3 linked regions of the Tamandua tetradactyla genome follow. The protein of the gene in region 2 interacts with the protein of the main gene of each other region in a pairwise test. Links are inferred from orthologs where the notes say so. Each region holds a gene or a part of one and is shown on either strand. Other genes may lie near its edges.

Region 1 (7,638 bases), about 35 Mb from region 2:
TCTCTACTGCTGCCAGGGCAGCACCTGCCACAGCCTCAGGACACAGGCAAGAGCAGGACCCAGGCCTGCCCTCAAGAAGCTCCCAGTTGACTGTGGGCCACGCAGAGAGAAAGATTTCGGGGCAAGGTATTAGCAAGCGCCAGGTGAGGGTACAAAATGTACTGTGGAGTTCAGAGGGGGAAGAGACTGATTTTGCCCCTCTCTCCATCTCAGCCCAGGGCTCCACCCTGCGTGTTTTTCTGCCTCCAGAAGTGTCCCCATTACCGAAAAGCCCCCTGTTCTCCTCGTGCTCCCGACCATTCCCCAGTCCCCCAGCCTGTACTCTATCCGCACTCTCAGCCCTATCACGTAGTAACAAACACTTCCGCTCCTCCCCTGAAGAGCTCAGCTGGCCTTGGCCAACACTTAAATTTCTGCTTTCTAAGGTCTCCTTACCCCTGGGACTGTAACAATATTATGCTACATTTGAATAGCACGCTCCAGTTCACAAAATGCCTTCTCGCATTTAATTTAATTCAATTCCCACAATAAATCTGCAAGGTTAAGTGTTGTCGGGACAATTAGGAAACTGAGGCTTAGAAAGGGGAGGCAGCTTGCCAAAGGCCACGTGGCCAACTCATCTGCCCAGGTGGAAACTCACAGGTTAAAGGTAGGGACTACTTCCAGCTGTAGCATGTGACTTGACCTCTTCTGTGCCTCAGTTTCCTCGGTGGTAATATGTGACTGATATCCACCGCATAGGTTTTTGTCAAGATTAAGTACAGTAATACAGCAAAGTACTTAGAAAAGTGCTAAACACAATAACTAAGTTATAATTATTACCTTAGCTGATTCTCATGGTCTCTAACTCGTTAAAAAAAATTTTGTAACTCAATTTTATATCGTATACATTTACTAGGTAGCCATTTAACAAAATGATCTTTTTGCAGATTGATTAATGCTGGGTTTTAGGAACATTCTTTTTTTTCTGTCTTCATTTTCCTACTCCCCTAAATAGTTTCAACAATAGAAAAGTTTCTTTTCTTCCTCCAGTCCACCTACACACACACACACACACACACACACACACACACAAGCACAGCATTAAGTCAAATCTGGACAAGTGCAATTGTTCTGCAGAATGTAAAATACTGGAAAACACTGACCTAGACTTTCCATGTCGGGCTGTCCCTGGACAGCCAGAGGACATGCCAGTCACGGATGGAAACTTTCACAAACCTACTTTCCACCACTGGAGCGGGTCAAAGTCCTGTGCATATTTCTGTATTGCTCCAGTTTTTTACTTATCTGAATCTATAGCAGGAATGGGTTGTTACGAAGTAGCCCCTGTTTATTTTTCGCTTTTCTTTAAAAAAAAAAAAAGGACAATCTACAGCGGTTTCCTGCAGCAAGAAGCGTCATGTAACCAGGCAACTAGCTCAGGCAGAGAAGCCCAAGATGCTGCCGGGTCAGGCACAGAAAACGTGCTGCTTTCCAGGGGTCCAGACCCCACAGCCAGAGAACCTGCCTCAAACCCAGCAGGGTTTGCGGAGGGCAGAAGGGAAAGGACACCTCTCTCTCTCTCCCCCTCTGGGGTAGGATGGCCCCAGGGGAGATGAGCCTTCCCATTTCACAGCACCCAGACACACCCCACCCGGGTGGGGCTACAGGCTGCTAGAATGAGAAGAGAAAGCCCCGGGGTGAAAAAAGCTTTATTCTTTACAAAATTCCACAGAGATAATGCTTCAATCAGGTCCATCCTCTTTTCTTAAACCCCAACACCCTTTCCCTAACTTTCTACTGTGTTTGGAGGAAAACAACCGCCTGTGCTGGCGAGCCCAGAGGGGGGCAGCGGGCACCCAACTGGATCTTCAAACGCTCCACTCTAAGCGCAAGCACGGGGAACAAATCTGCAAATAAAAGCCTGGCACTGGGATTGAAAGAAGTGCTGCACCCTTGTAAATGGATTTTTACATACAAATGAACTGATCAGCAGCATACACTTGCCGGCTTTCTTCAGTCAAATCGATACATCAGGCATTTAAAAACTCCGATGGAAAAATGGATTGTGGCTTTTTGTTGATGACACTGAGGAATTTTTGGCCCCAAGCCCTGGTCGGGCTGGACAAATAGGGCATCTGCCTGCTAGCTGCCAGGCGCATCTTAAGAGCCCTGAAACAAAACCCCAAGTCAGGGCTCGGGACACGGCCGGGCAGCTCATCCCAAGCAGCAGAGAGCGGCCCGGGGCACGCCAAGCGCCCCCATCTCTGCCCCCTGCCGGGTCCCCTCCTCCAACCCCGAGTCATTTTCCAAGCTGGGCCACGCTCCGCATTTCCTACATTCCTTCTCACCGCTCTTACCCCTGGGCCCCGACCTCGGAAGGCCGACAGCTGGGGGCGGTGAGGACCAGGCAAGGGGCGCGGAGGAACGGGTGCCAAGAGGTTGGAGGGGTGCTAGAGGTTTAGGGACATGGCAGTGCAACCGAGAAGCGGCGGATCCAGACGGGAGGAGAGGGCTCCCTTCCTTTCACCTCCCCACCCCCAATGCACCCCAAATAACATCCAATGCGTCCACCATGCCCTCTCCTAGGGCCCCTTTTCGGCTCCTGCCGCTCTCACCTCCCCTCGGGAACCCGCCGCTTTACCGGCCGGGTCCACTTCGCTTTGCCCCCGCCTCCCCCCCTCCCCCACCGGTGAGCCCCGTTTCGCGGAGTCCGTCCCTTCCCCTCCCACCCTTCCCGCCCCCGGGCAGCCGGGATGCCCCGGGGCACCCCCACCTTCCTCCGATCGCCTGGATCTGCGAACCAGACGCCGGCCCCCTCGCGGACCCCTGGCCCCGTCCTCTCCTGGGCCCACAAGACCCCTAATCTCTTCAAAGCCCCCTCCCGGACACAGTCTCTCGGGGTGCCCCGGTTCTGTCCCGGGGCGCCCAGGTCCTCACCTGAGTCCGCTCGAAGCTCTCCCGCTCGGCCGCCTCGAGCCCCGCGCCGACCCCGCGCCGGCTCAACACCTTGGGCAGCGGGTTAGGCACCTGTTTCATGGAGCTGGCCATCCGGTCCATGTCGCCGCGCGGAGCAGAGTCAGGGGCCGTCGGCCGCCCGGGGATCCCCGCGGGGCTGCCTGCCCCGCCCTACCCACCGGGATCCGGCGCTAACGGGACGGCTCCCGCCTCCCATTGGCTGGGAGCGCTGCTCCTCTCCCCCGAGGCCCCGCCCCTCGCCGGGAGGCTTCCCCGCCCGCCCAGCCTGCTCCGGAGCCCCTCGGCTCGCTGGGTCGGCTGGGTCCGCTGGGCGGCGCCCGATCGCGAGGCGCGCGCTGTGACCGGTCCACAGGCCTGTCCATCACCGCGGTCTCGCCGCGCCTGGCAGGGGCGGGGCGGCCGAAGGGGCGGGGCCTAGGGGCTACCCCGACCCGCCCTCGCACGCCCCTCCCCGCCGCGCACCGCCCGCTTTCCCCTCCCCTCCCCCTCCCCGCCCTTTCCCTCCGGGTCCCGAGCGCAGTTTCCCTCCGGAAAGCGCCCCTGGAGGCACTTAGAAGAACCAAGATCCTGAAGTGGGGGTCTGGGGGTCACGCCGGCTGGGGACTCGGGCCTTCCCCGGGGAGTCCGGGCCCGGCTGGGAATAGCCTGTTTACTCCTTTCGGGCCTGGAAGGACAGCCCCCCCCCCCCCCGGGAAGGGTCAGCTTCGGTCCAGGCCCCCACCCAGCTCCCAGTCCGTCCCTTTGGCTTCTTCCTCCATCCTGACCCTGCATCCCTGCGGTGCCCTCTGTCCTGATCGCAGACTCGAGGTCCGGGAGCGCCGGGCTGGGTCAGTGGGGACCTCCCGGCCCCTTCTTCCCTAACCTCTCATCATTTGGACCCGAACCAGAACTCACTTGTGGGTGGAAACTTTCCGTTTAATCCACGGCTCGGCGCCACCCCTCTCTCCTCCCCAGAGGCGTCAGCCAAGGTAGCCACAGCAGGAGAGAAGTGGGCTCCTTCGCGGAGATGCTGAGAAAGTTAGACGTTTTCCATGAAATTCTAATTTTGATGTTTTTGAAGATATTCTTTGTAACTCAAAGAATGCCCCCGGTAAGCATTAAACAGTCGGTGTATTTTTTTTCAAGTGTTTAAAACAACGTTTGGTAACAATTCACACACTCAGAGAAGGTGTGGGCGTTTGCGGGTACTAGGGAGTCCCTCAAGGTTTGCTGGCCTCTGAGGACACGGGGTGGGGGTGGGGGGTGTCAAGTGGAAGGAGTCCAGCAGCAGTTGAGAGACAATGAGGTCCTAAACTAGAATGGACAACAGAAAGCTTTGTCCCGTGGGAGGTTAGGTGAATAAGGTGTGGACAAAGGGGATGACAGGGGAAGGAAGCCGTGATTCCAGAATGTCTGTAGTGGCAGTGTGGTGGGAACGGATTGCCATGAGGCCAGGGAGATGGCATTGAGTCCAGGGTACAGTGGGGAAGCTGGCTGAGGAAGAGATGACTTCAGTATGGACAAAACAAAATCAAAGTGGCCAACTGGGTGGAAATAGAAGGGGCGAGGTAGGGGGGACAGGAGAAACAGAGGGGAAACAAGGCCAGGAGGGGAAGGGAGTAACAGGGGACTCAAAGATGATGTCTCAGCTAACTGTGCATTGTTAGGGGATGCAGACAATAGATGGGGGTGGGGTTTGGTAGATGTGAGGGTGTATCAGTCAGAGTTCTGGAAGGAAAGGATTACACACTCACTCAAAAGGAGAAAGTTTGATGGTGAAGCATTGAGAGGCTAGAACACTGAGGAGCTGTTGTCACCTCTAGACTTGGAGAGACCAGGGGAGGGAGCTCTACCTGAGCCAGCTGAGAGTCCTCATGGTGAGAGGAGACACCTGAATCTTAGGTAGAAAAACACAGCAATTAAGGAAAAACAGCTTGGTCTGCAGGGAGCTGGGGAATGAGTGTCCCAGTTTCTTTCTGTCCTTGGATTTTCTACTATTTCTTCCCATTGGCCAAATCCAACAGAAAGCCAGAGAGAGGGCAAGGACGAGGCAGTCAGCCTTGCCACTCCCCTCCTTCTAGGCACAGAGTGGGGTGGGAAAGAGTGGAGAGGGGGGTCTGGAGGGGCAGGTGGAGAGTTCCAGCACAGGAGGTTCACAGGAGATGTCCAGAAGGGAAAACAACCAAAGAAACAGACGAGCTTTGTAATAATATTACCTCTGGCTGCCCATGGCTTGTCTAGTCTCCTACCTGCCTTGTGCTCTAGATCAGGGTAAGGAATGATTTATGACCTTTTGCTCAGACTTTATGGCTTCAACAAACATGGGCCCTTTAAACAGGGATTAAAGGATCAGCCTAGTTTTTATTAGAATAAATCAGAGTAGGAATTCAGGAAATTTGTGGTTTGGAGGCACGGGGTAGAGAAAGACTCAAGGGAGTTATCTTCCTCTGTGAAATTCAGAGAAAAGTAAATGTAAGGCGTGCCCAACTGCTGCAGCAGCGAAACCCTTTACCAAGGGCTAAAGGGAACCCCCTTCCCAGGCCATAAACTATAGGACTTTGCTAGCTTCAGTCAGCTCTTACCTTCTCACCTAGGGACTTAAGAATCACTTGTTTCTGGACATGAAATCGTAATCTCTGGGGAGTGCCCAAAACCCACAGTGGGACGTGTCCTATCATGTACCTCTCCATAACTGGTGAAAAAGTTCCCACCCCACACCTAGTTTGGATATGGTGTAGCATCTAGTATGAGAAGATATACACTGATCACACTATTCCTCCGGGTTCCTGGAGCCCAGATACACATTTTTAATAGCTTTTATTGAGATATAATTGACGTTATTTAAACTGCATATATTTAAAGTGTACAATTTGGTGAGTTTTGACATATATATATATATACATTTGTAAAACCATCACCACAACCAAGATAATAATCATCCATCACCTGCTGAATTTCCTCGTGCCCCTTTATAATTTGTTCCTGTGCCTAGGGAACTACTGATCTGCTTTCTATAGCTGTAGATTAGTTTGCATTTTCTAGAATTTTCTATTAATGGAAGTATACAATACATCCTCTTTTTTGTTTGGCATTTTTACTCCGAGTAATTATTTTGGAATTCATGTATGTTGTTGCACGTATCAATATTTGTACCTTTTTACTGCTGAGTAGTGTTCATTGTATGGATAATCTACAATTGTTTATCCACTAGCCTGCTATTTGGGTTTGCTAAAGCTGCTAGAATGCAATATACCAGAAATGGACTGGTGTTTACAATGGTATTTATTAACTCAACAATTTACAGTTCTTAGGTCATGAAAACGTCCATGTCCCAATGAAGGCGTGCACAGGATGATATGTGGACTCTGAAGAAAGGCTGCCAGCATCCGGGACACTCTGTCACATGGAAAGGCACATGGCCGGAATCTGCTGGTCCTTCATTGCCAGGTTCCATTGCCTTCAGCCTCTGATTCCTGTGGCTTTCTCTCCGAGCATCTGTGGGTCCTCTCTTAGCTCCTCTGAGGCTTTACTCCCTAAGCTCTCCCTGGGTGTTTCTTTGAGTTTCTCTTGGTTTTTCTGTCTTTCATCCTCATAAAGGACTCCAGTAAAGGATTAAGAGCCTCCTTGAATGGGCTGGGTCACATCTCAATTGAAACAACCTCATCAAAAGGACCTTCCCTTCATAGGTCTGCACCCACAAGAATGGATTAAAAGAACATGACTTTTTCTGGGGTACATAACAGCTTCAAACTGCCACACCTGCTGTTGGAAATGTAGGTTGTTTCCAGGTGCTATGATTCCATGCTGCAATGCAGATGAACCGTGAAAACATTATGCTAAGCTAAAGGAGGCAGAAACAAAAGGTCATGTATTGTATCATTTCATTTATATGAAATAACCAGGATATGTGAATCCATGGAGACAGAATGCAAATTGGTGGTTGCTTGGGGCTAGAGGGAAGGGAGAATGGGAAGGAGCTGCTTAGTGGGTACAGGTTTTCCTTTTGGGGTGATGAAAATGTTTTGGAACTAGATAGAGGTGGTGGTTTCATAACTTTGTGAAGGTATCAAATGCACTGAACTGTTAATTTAAAAATGGTTAATTTTACTTTATGTCAATTCAGCTTCAATAAGAAAAATTAAAAGCAATTTAAAAGGTGGCTGTGAACATTTATGAATAAGATTTTGTATGTATATATGCTTTCATTTCTCTTGGGTAAATGCCTAGGGTGGTAATGTCTGGATTGTATGGCAAGTGTGTTTTTAACTTTTTAAGAAATCTCCAAACCGTTTTCCAAAGTGATTGTGCCATTACACATTCCCAGCATCAGTATGAGAATTCCAGTTGCTCCACATTCTTGTCAGCACTTGGTACGATCAGTCTTTTATTTTTAACCGGTCTAGTGAATGTGCAATGGTCATTCATTGGTGTTTATATTTGCAATTCCCTAATAACTCATGATGTTGGGCATCGTTCCATATGTTTATTTCACATCCCAAATTCTCTTTGCTGGAGTGTACACCTCAATATTTTGTCCATATTTTTAAAACTTTCTTTTTATGAAATAATATAGACTTCTAAAGAAAATTGCAAATATAATGCAAGGAGTTTCTTTATAACCTTCGCCCAGCCTCCCCTTATGTTGACATCTTATGTAACCACGGTAAAAATGATCAACACTAAGAAATTAACGTTGGTACA
Region 2 (6,986 bases):
AGTAAAACATATGGAATAAAGATGAATAATAGGGGGAACAAATGTTAAAATATTTAGAGTGAAATGCTGGTGATCGGTGAGGGGGAGGGGTGGGGGTAATGGTATGTACGAATTCTTTTCTGTTTTCTTTTTATTTCTTTTTCTGAATAGATGCAAATGTTCCAAGAAATGATCATGATGATGAATATGCAACTATGTGATGATATTGTGAGTTACTGATTATATATGAAGAACAGAATGATCAAAAGTTACGAATGTTTGCATTTGGTGGTTTTTTTGGTATTTAAAAATTTTTTTTAATTAATTAAAAAAATAGCAGTACATCATCAACAAATAACCTCACTGCACTAGCCAAGTCAATGCTAAGCACTCAAATTTACTTTTAATTTTAGACTGTCTCAAGAAACACTCAATTCTAAAGCTCCGTGAGCTGAATAGCTTAACTTCTGCACCCTTATTTTCTCTGAAGTTAAGACCGACAAAAAAGAAAGTGCTCTGGGCTTAGGATGCAGGTGTAGTAACTTCCTACCTGCTAGGAGGTGAGCGGGGAATCACAACAGCGCTGACACCTGCCATAGATACTTCCTTTCTTCTGTCAGTCCCTTAAACCCTGTAAAATTACAGTTTTTTTCCCACTGAGGTAGACACCTGTGGCCAAGGGACAACTCTGTTAGCTACAAAGGTGTTATCACGTCTGTCCAGAGCGTTAACGCTAGCTCGAACAAGGAGATGAGATTGTGAGGACCCGGGAAAGTTCCACCTGACACCACAGAACCATTCCAAGGAAAGGAAACACCAATCCTGTACAGAGCAGGCGATAGGTGGCGACCTCAAGCTGCCTCGCCCACTGGGCTGTTTTCACAGCAGTAAAAGCAAAAGTAAACAGAGGACAAGTCAGAGTGACAGGCCTCTAGTACTTCCTCGTATGGGCTGTGGATCCCCACTTTTCCACCCTCACGGTAAGCTCTGGGGAGATTCATCTTCGGATGGGCACCAAATTACCCACCCATCAATCAGCAGGGATGGCAGTGGAAGCAAAGCAGGTGCCAAGTATCTTCTGGAAGATTAATTTCAGCTGGAAATGCTTCCTAGTTCCTTTCACCTCAGTTGGTTCCCCTTTTACTGACCCCAGCCCCAGGGCTTGCCTGTGCCTCCTCTGCAGCTGTGCCGAGATTCTTCTGCCCCTCTAGAATGCTGCCCACCACATCCCCACTGCCAGATTTTGCTGAAGGATCATCTTTTCCATGAAGCTCCCCCTCGTTAACCTGGCCCTGTGCTCAGAGCAGCCTTTTCCCTCCTCTCAATCTCCCTCCAGAGTTACAAGAGCATTTGTGAGCACAAGCACCAGCTTTTTCACTTGTGCCTGTGTTTCCACTTTCCACACACAGCATAAGCCCCTCAGGACCAGGAGCCATTTCTTCTGCATCCTCTCCAGGGCAAATACAGTGCAAGATTTCCCCACAGTCAACCCATAAGAGCGGCTGAAGGAACAAAGGGAAATTTACTCATCAAAGCCAGCAAATGACTTCAATCTAGTATTTTAGAGACTTAAGAAATTGAGTTTTCGTTTTAGATCAATTACTGAGTCAATTAATCCACAAAAACACTCAACAAGGATACTTTCTGCAAATGTGAATAAAAGCATCTATTATTAATGTCATAGAGTAACAGGGAAGAGGAAAGATCGGCCTCTCCCATAGTGGCTCTACCATAAACGTTACTTAAGAGTGTGATGCACATTCAGGTCCCAGAGCAAAGGCTCGCTGAGAGGAGGGCAGCACAGGAATTATTCTATGCCAGGAAGAGTGAGTCACACGCCCTCTGGATCCTGATCCAATTATGATAAAACCAAACACCATGCTGATGTCCCAGATATCAGCTTGTACCTCTCTGTACTCATCATCTGGGTCAATCTGATTTTAAAACAGCCATCGAGCAGGCTGGGGATCGAGGTAGGAGGGCAGGTGGGGCAGCTATGCACACAGGTGCCAATCGTGAGTTTCCTGAAAAGGAACCCAGGGGGAACTGTTGCATCCAAATCCGGGTCCCAGGCAGCTCTTGAACCAACATCAGCTCACTGAGGCCGAAGGGAGGAATTTCCTTTGGGAAGACTGGTGGAAGGGAGGCCCGGTGCCTTCCAGAAACTGAATTTCTCAACAACCAAAGCTCAGTCCAACAGCCAATGACATCATCCGGAAGCACAATCCCTAAGAGAACCGGAGACGGTCCAAGTGACTGATCCCTGGAATGCACAGTCCTTCACGGCACATTCACTTCCCCGTCCCCTCTCTCCCCGGCCCTGGCCCCGAGCTGCGGGAATACCCGCCCCACCGCCCAGATCCGCGGAGCTCTGGAAACCGGAGGGTGGACAGGACTTGCTCGGCTTAGGGACAGGCGATGTCCACCCACTGACACCAACTCCCGGGGGCCGGGCCTTTCCCACGACATCTACGCGGCACCAGCCCGGGGCTGAGCTAGGCCACCCGCGAGAGGCTGAACCCCGCGCTCCAGGGGCTGTGCCCGCAGCTTTCACCTAGCTGGGGGCTCCCCAGGCCCTCGCGTGTCCACAGAAGCACCCGTGGATGGCGGTCCTGGATCCTGCGTGGAACCCCGGGGACACCGGTGAAGAACCGACGCCCGGAACCCTCAAGGTTCGAGGGAACCGGTGTCCAGAAATTCTGGTTTGTGTTTGTTTTTGAATCCCCAGGTGATGATCCTGGGGAATCTCAATTCTGAGTCCCGCGGCCACTACTGAGAACGGCGACTTTCCTGAAAAGCTGCCCACTCCGAGAGAAGGGGTCACCGCGGGCGCCCACCGCCCCCCGGCGCGCACGGATCCCCTGCCCCGAAAGGAAGTGATGCCCTGGAGCTCCCGGGCCGGAGTCCCAAGCAGGTGCTAGCGCCCCAGAGCCCCCCACAATTCGCAGCCGCCTGAACGCGGGGCCCCCACTCGCGCCCCCGCAGCCCCGCGCGCCTCACTCACCGCCGCCAGCGCCGGAGTCGAGCCGGGAGGTCTGAGCTGGCCGCGCGGGCGGGACGCGGCGCCGAGGACGGCCCGGCGGGAGGGGCGGGGCCCGGCGGGAGGGGTGGGGTGGGCGAGCTGGAAGGGCGGGACCCGGCGGGGTGGGCGGGGCGAGCCGGAGGGGCGGGACCGACGGGGTGGGCGGGGCCCGGCGGCTGCCTCGGGGTCTCAGTTTCCTGCCTCTCCCGCCTCCGCGCGCTGCGGGAGACGCGGGGGCCGCTTTCCCCCTACCCCAGGCCGTCGCCCACTCCCCACCTGCTTCCGGCGGGCTCGGAGTCCACCGATCCTTCGGATTCGACCCCGAGCCCTCCTCCCCTCCGATCGCCCACTGCCCTCGGAACACCCCCAGGGTACACCCCCGACCCCACGCGCTGACCTCGGAGCCCCCGCTCCCCCACCCCCACCCCGGCCGCATCCTCGCGCCTCCCCTCTCGGATTCTGCCCCTGCAAGTCCAGCTCTGCCCCGTGCCCGGGACACCCCACCCTCCCCTGATGCTTTCCCATCCCAACCCCCCAGCCCCCATCTCCCACATTCCCTCCCCACCTTCAGACCCCGCTCCCGCCAGCCTGAGGCCCCATGTCCGGGGCTGGCGTCCGCCCTGCCCGCGGAGCCGGCCATCTTCCACGCGTAATTCAGTTCAGTCCGTTCATAAGCGTTCGCGCAGCCCAAAACACCGCCTGGGACTTGGGCGAGCCGCTCACCCTCTCGGGGCCTTGGCCTCCTGTCTGTGAAATGGGCACCGTCACAGCATCTAGGGCTTAAGATCTACTTACAGAATTAACCCAGATGATGCAGATTTGGCCCAGGGTAAGGGTTAAGGAAAACCCATCTGCTGTTTTATTGCTTTGTCCCCACCCAGGTGTCCCTTGGCCCCTGGGAAGAACTTTCAGTCCTTCACGGAAAGCTCTGTAAATCAATAACTCCTCAAAACCTCCACTAGACCCCTTGCCCCTAAAGGGCTGCCCCCTGCCCCATCTACCTGCTGCGGGAGGGACAGGAGCCCTGGTCCCACTGGCCCTCTGGGAAGTCTTATAGGGCATTGATGAGTGCACTGGCTTTTAGGGTACACGGAGTCTTGGCCATGGGGAGCAACTGAGCCCCATGGTGGATGCAGAGACCTGGTTGGGAGACCCCTCAGCTTGTACAGTCACCTACCTTGATCTTGAGATATGAAAGACACTGAGATGCAGAAAGGAAAAATGACTTGCCCACTGTCCCACAGCAAACTGGTGCCAGGGCTGGGTCTAAACTGTCCCCTCTGTCCCAGCCCAAAGCTCCCCCCACCTTTCACCATTTCAACCCAGCTACCATCAGCCCAGAAAATATTACTAAATTGGAGGAAGGGGATTGCAAAGATCTCCCACACCTGGGGAGTCATCAAGTAGATGTTCTTAAGTGAAGGCACCCATTTATTATTTTACAGTTATAAAGGAAGCCAGATTATGCCCAACCGCTGCCCTTCTCCATTCTCAGAGTGCACTCGTGACAGGCAAAAAGATGGATTATCCAGAAATTAAACCAAAATATCACAGACCAGGGCAAGTGAGACACAGGCCCTACAAAATATGCCCTAATAAAATGTTCAAGAAAAAGCCCTCTAAGAATTCTTGGGAGTTGCCTGATTTCTTTCTTTCTTTTTTTTTTTTTTAAATTCTGCAGAGAGAAAAGCAACCACCAACTTGAATTTCGTTTTTTGCTTCCGGAATGCTACCACATCTTCATTCATTTTTCTACCCCCAACTGCTGAGCCACAACAGGAGCTGGCTTTCTCTTTTCATCTATCCTAAACACTTAACATGGCTGGGAGCTCACAATTATCTATGGTGAGAACTGTCAGAGTGTGACTCTTTTTAATCTCCCAAAACCACTGAGATTGAGTTTACAACCCAAGGGTTACAAGCAGGACATAAAAGTAAAAACAGCTATGCGATCTTGTCGATAGATGCAGAAAAAGCCTTTGACAAAATCCACAACACTTTCATGATAAAAACACTCAACAAAACCAGGAATAGAAGGGAACTTCCTCAAACTGATAAAGGGCATCTATGAAAACCCACAGCTAACTTCATACTTTGTACTTAAACTCTAAAAGCTTTCCCTCTAAGATCAGGAACAAAGCAAGGATGCCCACTCTTGCCACTCCTATTCAACATTGTAGTGGAAGTTCTAGCCAGAGCAGTTAGGCAATAAAATTAAATAAAAAGCACCTGGATTTAAAAAGAAGCAGTAAAACTGTGTTTGCATGACATGACCTTATATAGAAAAAACCCTAAGAAATTCACATCCACACAATGATTAGAGCTAATGAATGAGTTAAGCAAAGTTGCAGGATGCAAGATCAATATACAAAAATCAGTTTGTGCTTCTATACAGTAGCAATGAACAATCTGAAAATGAAATTAAGAAAACAATCCTATTTACAATAGCCTCAATAAGAATAAAGTCTTGGGTTTAATTTAACCCAAGGCACGCAAAGCCAGACTCTGAAAACTACAAAATGTTTAAAGAAATTAAAGCTCTAAATAAATGGAAAGACGTCCTGTGTTCATGGATTTGGAAGCTTAATATTGTCAATATGGCAAATCTCCCTCAAGTTGACCTACAGATACAATCCAGTTCTGTTATCAAAACTCCAACCGCCTTTTTTCTTTTTAGAACAGTTGTAAGTTTACAGAGAAATCAGCAGAAAGTTCCCCCCATACATACACAGACACAACTTTTCCTGTTATTAACATTTTGCATTAGCATGGTGCATATATTTGATATCACTGATGAATCAGTGTCCAATTTCCTTTTTTGCAGAAATGGAAAACCTGATCTTATGGAATTGCAAGAGAATGAGAGTGACTGCTAAGGGGTATGGATTTGGGGGGCATATATGGGGAGGTGATGAAAATATTCTGGAATTAGTGGTGATGGTTGCACAACATTCTGAATATACAAAAAAAAAATGTATCCTTAAAATGGTCAATTTCATGTTTTGTGAAGTTTATAAAAAAAAAGAATCGGGCATCTAGTGTATTAACTCATATAGGACTCTGGGAAGGTGTCACGCAGGCCACGCAGGGTTACAGGACAAACTGTGAGCATCTTGCCTCCCGGTGAAGATTTTTTTATCTGTGTTGTGCCTGGGGTGAGGAGGGGGTGGGGGTGGGACCTGGGAAGTGGACTCACCACACACGATACCTCTGCAATCGCACAGACCAGACAGAAAGGAAGAGACTTTTCCTCTGGGTATATTCTGAAACTTCAGAAATGACAGGTTACCTAAAATAATGCAGACTATGAGCCCATTTTTTGTCAAAAAAAAAAAAGAAAAAATTATATACAAAGGCACACGCTTAGAAAAAAGTTTTCCAACTTTTTCCAGCAGACAGAATGCCATAAATAGTCATCTCTGAATGATGGAAATCAGGTGGGGAATTTTTTTTCGTTCTCTTTTTGCTACTCTCCATTTTCTAATGTTTCCAGAACAAACACAAATTGCTTGTGTTTAAAAAAAAAAAAAATTAATTTTCAAAAAAGGAAGGCACCAGGTTGCCAGAACCAGCCGCCACGAAGGGTCTGTGTTGCCCATAACAATGAATTCAGGTAACTCATGTTTCCATAACAGCTTCTTAGTTCCAAAACACATGTCACCCACACACCTCCCACGGTTCACCCTCTCTGTGCAGCAGAGATTCTCACTGCTGAGTTATGAAAATGGGGAAACTGAGGCCCAGGAAGTCCCCCTCCCCCACACACCCCCAGCCCTGGCTGGAGCAGCTCTGCGTTCTTGCTGCTGCCAATACGGAACCGAAAGGCGGGGAGCTCAGAGGGGCCTGCAAGAAGGGATGCCAGATTTAGCCAATAAGTATACAGAACTCTCACTTTAATGAATTTCATATAAACAGATTTTTTTATATATATAAGTATGTATGTCTCAAATCTTGCACAGGACACACTCAAACTAGACAAATCACT
Region 3 (7,507 bases), on a different chromosome or scaffold from region 2:
TAGCCACTCCTGCTCTTTTCTGGTTGTTATTTGCATGAAATATCTTTTCCCAACCTTTCACTTTCAACCTATATTTATCTTTGGGTCTAAGATGTGTTTCCTGTAGACAGCATATAGAAGGATCCTGTCTTTTAATCCATGTCTTTTGATTGGGGAATTCAGTCCATTAACATTTAGAGTTATTACTGTTTGGATAATATTTTCCTCTACCATTTTGCCTTTTGTATTATATATATCATATCTGACTTTCCTTCTTTCTACACTTTTCTCCATGCCTCTCTCTTCTGTCTTTTTGTATCTGACTCTAGTGCTTCCTTTAGTATTTCTTGCAGAGCTCGTCTCTTGGTCACAAATTCTCTTAGTGACTTTTTGTCTGAGAATGTTTTAATTTCTCCCTCATTTTTGAAGGACAATTTTGCTGGATATAGGAGTCTTGGCTGGCAGTTTTTCTCTTTTAGTAACTTAAATATATCATCCCACTGTCTTCTAGCTTCCATGGTTTCTGCTGAGAAATCTACACATAGTCTTATTGGGTTTCCCTTGTATGTGATGGATTGCTTCTCTCTCGCTGCTTTCAAGATCCTCTCTTTCTCTTTGACCTCTGACATTCTAACTAGTAAGTGTCTTGGGGAACGCCTATTTGTGTCTAATCTCTTTGGGGTGCGCTGCACTTCTTGGATCTGTAATTTTAGGTCTTTCATAAGAGTTGGGAAATTTTCAGTGATAATTTCTTCCATTAGTTTTTCTCCTCCTTTTCCCTTCTCTTCTCCTTCTGGGACACCCACTACACGTATATTTGTACGGTTCACATTGTCTTTGAATTCCCTGATACCTTGTTCAAATTTTTCCATTCTTTTCCCTATAGTTTCTGTTTCTTTTTGGAATTCAGATGTTTCATCCTCCAAATCACTAATTCTATCTTCTGTCTCTTTAAATCTGTCATTGTAGGTATCCATTGTTTTTTCCATCTTTTCTACTTTATGTTTCACTTCCATAAGTTTTGTGATTTGTTTTTTCAGTTTTTCTATTTCTTCTTTATGTTCAGCCCATGTCTTCTTCATGTCCTCCCTCAATTTATTGATTTCGTTTTTGAAGAGGTTTTCCATTTCTGTTCGTATATTCAGCATTAGTTGTTTCAGCTCCTGTATCTCATTTGAACTATTGGTTTGTTTGTTTGACTGGGCCATATGTTCAATTTTCTGAGCGTGATCCGTTATCTTCTGCTGGCGTCTGGGCATTTAGTCAGATTTCCCTGGGTGTTCGACCCCACAGGTTGAAAGATTTTTCTGTGCAATCTCTGGGTTCTGTTTTTCTTATCCTGCCCAGTAGGTGGCGCTCGTGGCACACGTTTGTCTACGGGTTACAGCAGTGAAAGTTGCTGTGGGTCCTTTAACTCTGGAAAATTCTCGCCGTAGGGGAGGTTCGGCAGCCGAAGCGTCTTGGAAGAGTGCCAGCCGGCCTGGGGTTCCGAATGCGGGGAGGGTCGCCGGCCACCGCAGCACGGGAGAGCGTCTGGCCGAATTAGCTAGTCGGCCCGGGGCGCCAAGCGTGGCGGGAGGGCGCCAGCTGTCGCAGCCCGGGAGAGTGCACTGTTCCCAGCCGGACGGGGGAGTCACGTGTTTGGAAGGGATCCCCCGGTCACTGTTCACAGCAGCCTGGGGATTTCCGACCCAACTCTCTGTTGGTCCGGGGGGCCTCGTGTGGTGGGGGCACCAGCCGCCGCGGCCTAAGGGGACCGCCTGTCCAATTCTACCAGCTGGCCTGGGAAGGTGGAAGGGAGGGACTCCGGTCGCTTGCCGTCCCACCCAGGAAAGCCCGTGCCCCTTGGTGATCTCACCGGAGCTGGTTCTCCCAGATAGTCAGCCGTTCCAGGATGGGGTACGCTGTCCCTTTGATCTCCCTCGTGGCTCCGGGAGCTGCTCTGTATTATCTCCACTCCCCCAGTAGCTGTTCTGGAGGAGGAAAGGTGAGGGTGGCAAAGCTGTCGAGGCTGGTGGTGGAGGAGCTGGTGAAGGTGGAAGAGGGGAGAGGAGGGCAGGCGGGTCTGCTGCTGCGGGGCGTGGGCACCACGCGGCGGGCCGGCGGACAAAAGAGGGGAGAGGAGGGCGGGCGGGTCCGCTGCTGCCGGGCGTGGGCGCCGCGCGGTCCTTTTACTTTTCTGTAGCTCATTTTTTAAAAAACCTGGTTAACAATTAAATTCTCTGTTCAATTTAGTGTTGTTTCTGTCTTCTGGCTGGATCCTGACTAATAAAGACCCTAATCATGTTGATATTCCAAAGAAGAAACATCAATGTGACTATATCTCAATAAAATTGCAAAAGAAAAAGAACAGATACAGTGAGGAATCTCTGGCAAGCCCCAGTGGTACAGAGAAGGGCAAAAAACCCGTAAGGATCAGATGAATTTACTAATGTGGACTTAGTGTCCACAGCTTGCTCTGAAAGACAACAATGAGAGGAAATCCTCAGACGTACATTTGGTCATCAGCTTGGTATAGGTATGTGGGGAAGGTGGCCCGAGGGAAGGAAATCATCAATTTGAAGTGTAAACCCAAATTAATAAAGAAAACTTTAAAGAGGCTGGATTTATCTGAAATTGGTAAGATTATTTTGCATTTGTCATCAGGGAGACAGAGACTCAAAAAAGATGGTATTATAGAAAGATGAAAATGCATCTCTTTGCACACCAGAATTTGTGGGTTAAAACCAACATATTAGATTCATTCATTAGATGAAGTAACTTCATTAGATGAAGTAACAATGAACAATATTTGTTTTTTCTTGTTTTTAACATAGGGTCTAGCTCCTAGTGACTATTCAAAATTTGTCGTTTGAATGAACTCATCAAGAACTGAGTACATACATCTAAAGGTAAACACCTATAGATTTTTGGGTGTACTTGCTATTATGGAGCAGGAGGAGCTAAAGAAGTCACTTTAAAATGTGAATGCTTTCCAAAGGCTAATCCTCAACCTCTGCTCTTAGCTCAATACAACTCTCTGACAAAATCTCCTCTCAGGGTTTTCAAGTGCTGCAATAACCTCCTAAATTGTTCCGTCTGGGTCTGTTTCTTTATATCCATCATGAACACTGATGTCAAATTAATATTCCAGAAACTGTTTTATTATACTACTCTGCTTCTCAAAATCCTTAATGTGCTAAAATTGAAATTTCTTAGTTTGCTCTTTAAGGCTCTTCTCTGTTTCCTCCTACCTTTATCTACCCGTTTTCTTTTCCAATACTGAGCCTTAACTCTAGACAAACCCACCCAGAAAGGCTCCAAATATCTTGTACCTCCTAGGTTCAGTGGCTTTTGAAAACCAGCCCCTTCATCTGCAGATATTCCCTTCTCATTTCTACACCTATCTTTAAAATAAAAAAATGCCGCTATCTTTCTGAATTATTACATGTGTAAGGCTTCTCTCTTCTATAATACCATCTCTATACCTAGAGGTTGTAAAACGATTTTATTTGTTCCACTGTTTAAAATGTTGAAATAGTTCTACTAGAAGTGCTAATATTATGGGCCCATATTTCAACAAACGGCTGAAGCTTACTAACAGTTGCAGTCTTTAGGTATAAGCGCTGTTCAGTTTGATAGTACAAAAGCATTCATTGAGCACCTATTGTCACTTTTAAACGCTATGGATACAGCATAAATAAAACTGATCATGGTGTTTATATTTTAACCAGGAAAGACAGACAAATAAATGATATATTACGAAGAGTTAAATACCATGGGAAAAAATTAAACAGGGTTGAGAGGAAAGGACAATGTGTGTTTGGGAAAGATTCTTGCACTTACACATCCATTTTTAAACTGGCTGGCTGCTATGGGAATCTGAGTTTGTGACTCCTACTGTATATCAGGATCTTCCCTATGCTGTCATGTATGAATAACTGCTCCTATAAAACCGTCAGCAATTCTTGAAGGCAGGGACTGGGCTTCATTCGTTCTTGTATTCCAAGAACCGAGCAATGTTTTCATGGCGAGAACACTATGGAAGGCGAAATTAGGACGTCTTACAGATATAGTTTCTTGTACTACTGTTTTCCGGGTGTCTTTTTTTTTTTTTCTACTGCCGGGGTCAAGTGCAAAAGAGGATACAACACCGAAAGCGCCCGGGAGCTGAGCCAGGCCATTCCCAGACTGTCAAAGCCACCTGTGTGTCGGCGGCTCCGTTTCCAAGGCAACAACACTGTGACAGAAACGTAGTTGCGGGCCCACGACTGCAAGGGACTGGTTCAGGAACTAACCTGACACAGAAATAGGAACGCGGCGTCTAAGCCGGTTGCCCTGAGCAGAAAACCCAGGATTGCCCGGACTCTGCCGAATTGCCACCGATTCAATAGCTTCCGGGCCTCCGGCGTTGCCCGGTTCTAGGCGCGACAACTTCCGGCGCCGAAGGTCCCCGCTCCGTGGCTCGGCGGGGTCCTAACGATGGAAAGGTGGCCAGGGCGGCCGCCTGAACCATGAGGGAAGCTGGGAACACGGCTGCCACGTTGTCCCGGCGCGCGGCGGCGAAAGGGCCACCGGGAGGATGTCCGCGGCTGGAAAGACTTTGACCCGGGAGGCTACCTCGCGGCTGGCCGCGGGGCGGAGCGTGGACCGGGAGTCTGCCCGTCAGGCGGGAGCCGGGCAGGTGCGGTGGCGCAAATGCTAGGACTGTGGCCCGAGCTCAGCGGGTAGGAAGCCGCGGCCCGGGGTCACCAAGCAGGGATTAGTTGCGGAGCCTCAGCCAGACTCCAGCGACTAGGGCTCGGGTGCTGGCGACATGCCTCTTTTCACCGCTAACCCTTTCGAGCAGGACGTTGGTGAGTGGCGCCGGGCTGTCTGTCCAACTAGAAAGTGGGAGGCGGCGGGTTTAAGGATTAGGAAGTCTAGCTGAAGGAGAGAAGGGGCGGTGCCGCCGCCTGGGCGCCCGTGTTTTTTAGGGGGTATCCTGCGCGCGTCGCCAGCGGTTTAGAGGATGTCTCCTACTTTTCTGAGGTCGAGGACCCAAAGACTATCGTTCGCCACGCCAAGCTCCGGAATCGGAGGAGCGTGGGGGCTCGCTGGAGGCTGGACTAATTAAGCTATTGCGGAGTTGGTGATAGAAACTTCCTGCTCTCCCTCTCCTGGCTATTGAGCCCCGCCGCCCTCCTTTTAGGGCGATGATGCTGTAGTGGGGACCCTACTGTCTAGGGCAACCCTAGAGACCTTGATTCACCCCGTTATGTAGGGAAAATTCATCTAACGTTGCTTATATACAAATACATCCAGTTCCTGATGGTGCAGCCTCAGGATTTGTTTACAGTTGGAGGTGTTACTCTTGAATCTCAAATGGCGCAGGTGTTACGAGATGTTTTCTGTCTCAAGAGTATGAAAAGGAAAGTGCCAACCCGAGGATCTCAAAACAGTTCAAAACAGCTAATATTTACTTGTTGGGTCGTAAGAGTATTTGCCTCTCAGTGACAGTGGAATGAGAAAAGGAAGGATGAAACGTAGAGACTTATTTTGAGCTTTGGAATAACAGTAAAACAAACTAAGAAAACATTTCGTAGCAATAGTTAACTCTAGGTAGAGTTTTAGGCCTTGGTGGAATAAAAAGCATAGCTGAAAATTGCCTTAGTCTCGCAGGCAGCAGCAAGCCACCTGTTTCATAGTTACATTTTTCTAATTATGAGAAGACTCTAGAAAGTTCCTTCTTTTGATATATTATGTGAAGCTATAGGTGTATTCAAAAGTCATATATGTGAGAGTCAAATAAGACGAATGTTATAAGCCTCTTCTATTCCTAGAGAGCTGAAATATTTATATCTTGACCCTCAGATAGTATTCAGGTGGGCATGTTCCTTATTTCATTAAACTTTTTTCTTGATAATGGAACACAGTGCCTGACATAAATCTGGGAAACAGCATGTTGAAGTGCACTGTTTCTGCTTTTGGAATACCTAATGGTTTCTTTGTTGCAACTGTTTTACCTTTGTGAGAATTGTACTTTTTGTTTTTTCCTTAGTTTTTTTTTGAGTTGTACTTTTCAATGAGAAAGACTTTTATTTTGTTCCAATGAAATAAAATAGAAAGGGTGAAATAGAATAAGTAAAATGATCTTAAAATGTAAAAATGGTGGAATTATTTCTTCAAGGGAAATCCTTCCCAGAAGCCCAATGTTTTTGTGATTGAAAACTTCCCTGGTCTAAGTAGGCTGAGGAACTCTGCCTGTTTGCTCTCTAAATCTTACCTTCTGTGGTTCCTGAGGCCCTCCACATGGTTTAGTGGAATATAGTTTAGTAAAAGAGGCACTGTTGTTGGGACCAAAAACTCTGCGGTATATAAATTTTTTTCACAGGAGTGCCATCAGCAGAAGCCTCAAGTGCTTAATTGTTAGCTCAAGTATGACTGAATGAAAGAACATGTTTGATTGAGGCCCACCTGTAACTTTTAGTCAAGTGCAGGGAGTTAATAACAAAAGTGGAATGATATACTAAAGATTTCAGATTAGCCTTTAAACCTGTATCATAACAGAAGAATTCTATTTTACATTTTTCAGATCTTAAAAGCGCCTTTTAATTTGAAATAATACAAAGCAAGTCATTATTTATGACTTGAGATGTCTACAGGAGTGTTCCCTCACAGTCTTTGTTATTGTCTTTTTCACCTGCTCTGTTTCTTCTTGCTGTACATTTGTTCACTGCTCATTCAACAAACATGCACCAAAAGATACTCTGTCAAGCATCGTGTTAAGTTCTGGGGACAGGAAGTTGAATAAATAGATTGAGAGTTTCTGCCCTCAAAGAACTTAATCTAATAGAGGACACATATGAAAAGAACATTAAAAAACCCATGCCTAGCTGGTCTCTTGGTCACAAATTCTCTCAGTGATTTTTTGTCTGAAAATGTTTTAATTTCTCCCTCATTTTTGAAGGACAATTTTTCTGGATATAGAATTCTTGGTTGGCATTAAGCAGATAGCACCTTGTTCAAGATGTAGCGGAGAGGCTGGAGGGAACTGCCTGAAAATGTAGAGCTGTGTTCCAGTAGCCATGTTTCTTGATGATGATTGAACAATGATATAGCTTTCACAGTGAGACTCTGTGAATGTGAAAACCTTGTGTCTGATGCTCCTTTTAGCTACTATATCAACAGAAGAGTAGAACATATGGAATAAAAATAAATAATAGGGGGAACAAATGTTAAAATAAATTTAGTTTGAAATGCTAGTGGTAAATGAAAGCGAGGGCTAAGGAGTATGGTATGTATAATCTTTTTTTTTCTCTTATTTTATTTCTTTTTCTGTTGTCTTTTTATTTCTTTTTCTAAATCGATGCAAATGTTCTAAGAAATGATGAATATGCAACTAGGTAATGATATTAAGAATTACTGATTGTATATGTAGAATAGATATCTTAATGTTTTGCATGTTAATTTTTTTAATTAATAAAAAAGTTAAAAAAAACCATGCCTATAATATGTATATGTAGTAAATGTAGTAAATACAGTGCTATTCAATAATATGTAATATGTA

Evidence for each region.
Region 1: the proteins of LITAF (region 2) and HIP1 interact in binary tests that used the Homo sapiens proteins (3 or more experiments, as listed by UniProt). The link is inferred for Tamandua tetradactyla from reciprocal best matches to the Homo sapiens genes LITAF and HIP1.
Region 3: the proteins of LITAF (region 2) and STAM2 interact in a two-hybrid assay, tested with the Homo sapiens proteins (4 studies listed by BioGRID and IntAct). The two-hybrid records come from large-scale screens. The link is inferred for Tamandua tetradactyla from reciprocal best matches to the Homo sapiens genes LITAF and STAM2.

Annotation. Positions count from the first base shown.
Region 1 is NC_135349.1:10,852,812-10,860,449, reverse strand, and holds the start of HIP1 (huntingtin-interacting protein 1), read right to left. Parts: upstream 3,100-7,638; 5' UTR 3,040-3,099; coding exon 2,920-3,039; intron 1-2,919. UniProt on the Homo sapiens protein: Plays a role in clathrin-mediated endocytosis and trafficking. Involved in regulating AMPA receptor trafficking in the central nervous system in an NMDA-dependent manner. Regulates presynaptic nerve terminal activity.
Region 2 is NC_135349.1:45,797,793-45,804,778, reverse strand, and holds the start of LITAF (lipopolysaccharide-induced tumor necrosis factor-alpha factor), read right to left. Parts: upstream 3,066-6,986; 5' UTR 2,984-3,065; intron 2,894-2,983; exon of another isoform or gene 1,647-2,893; intron 1-1,646.
Region 3 is NC_135329.1:122,449,243-122,456,749, reverse strand, and holds the start of STAM2 (signal transducing adapter molecule 2), read left to right. Parts: upstream 1-4,461; 5' UTR 4,462-4,774; coding exon 4,775-4,814; intron 4,815-7,507.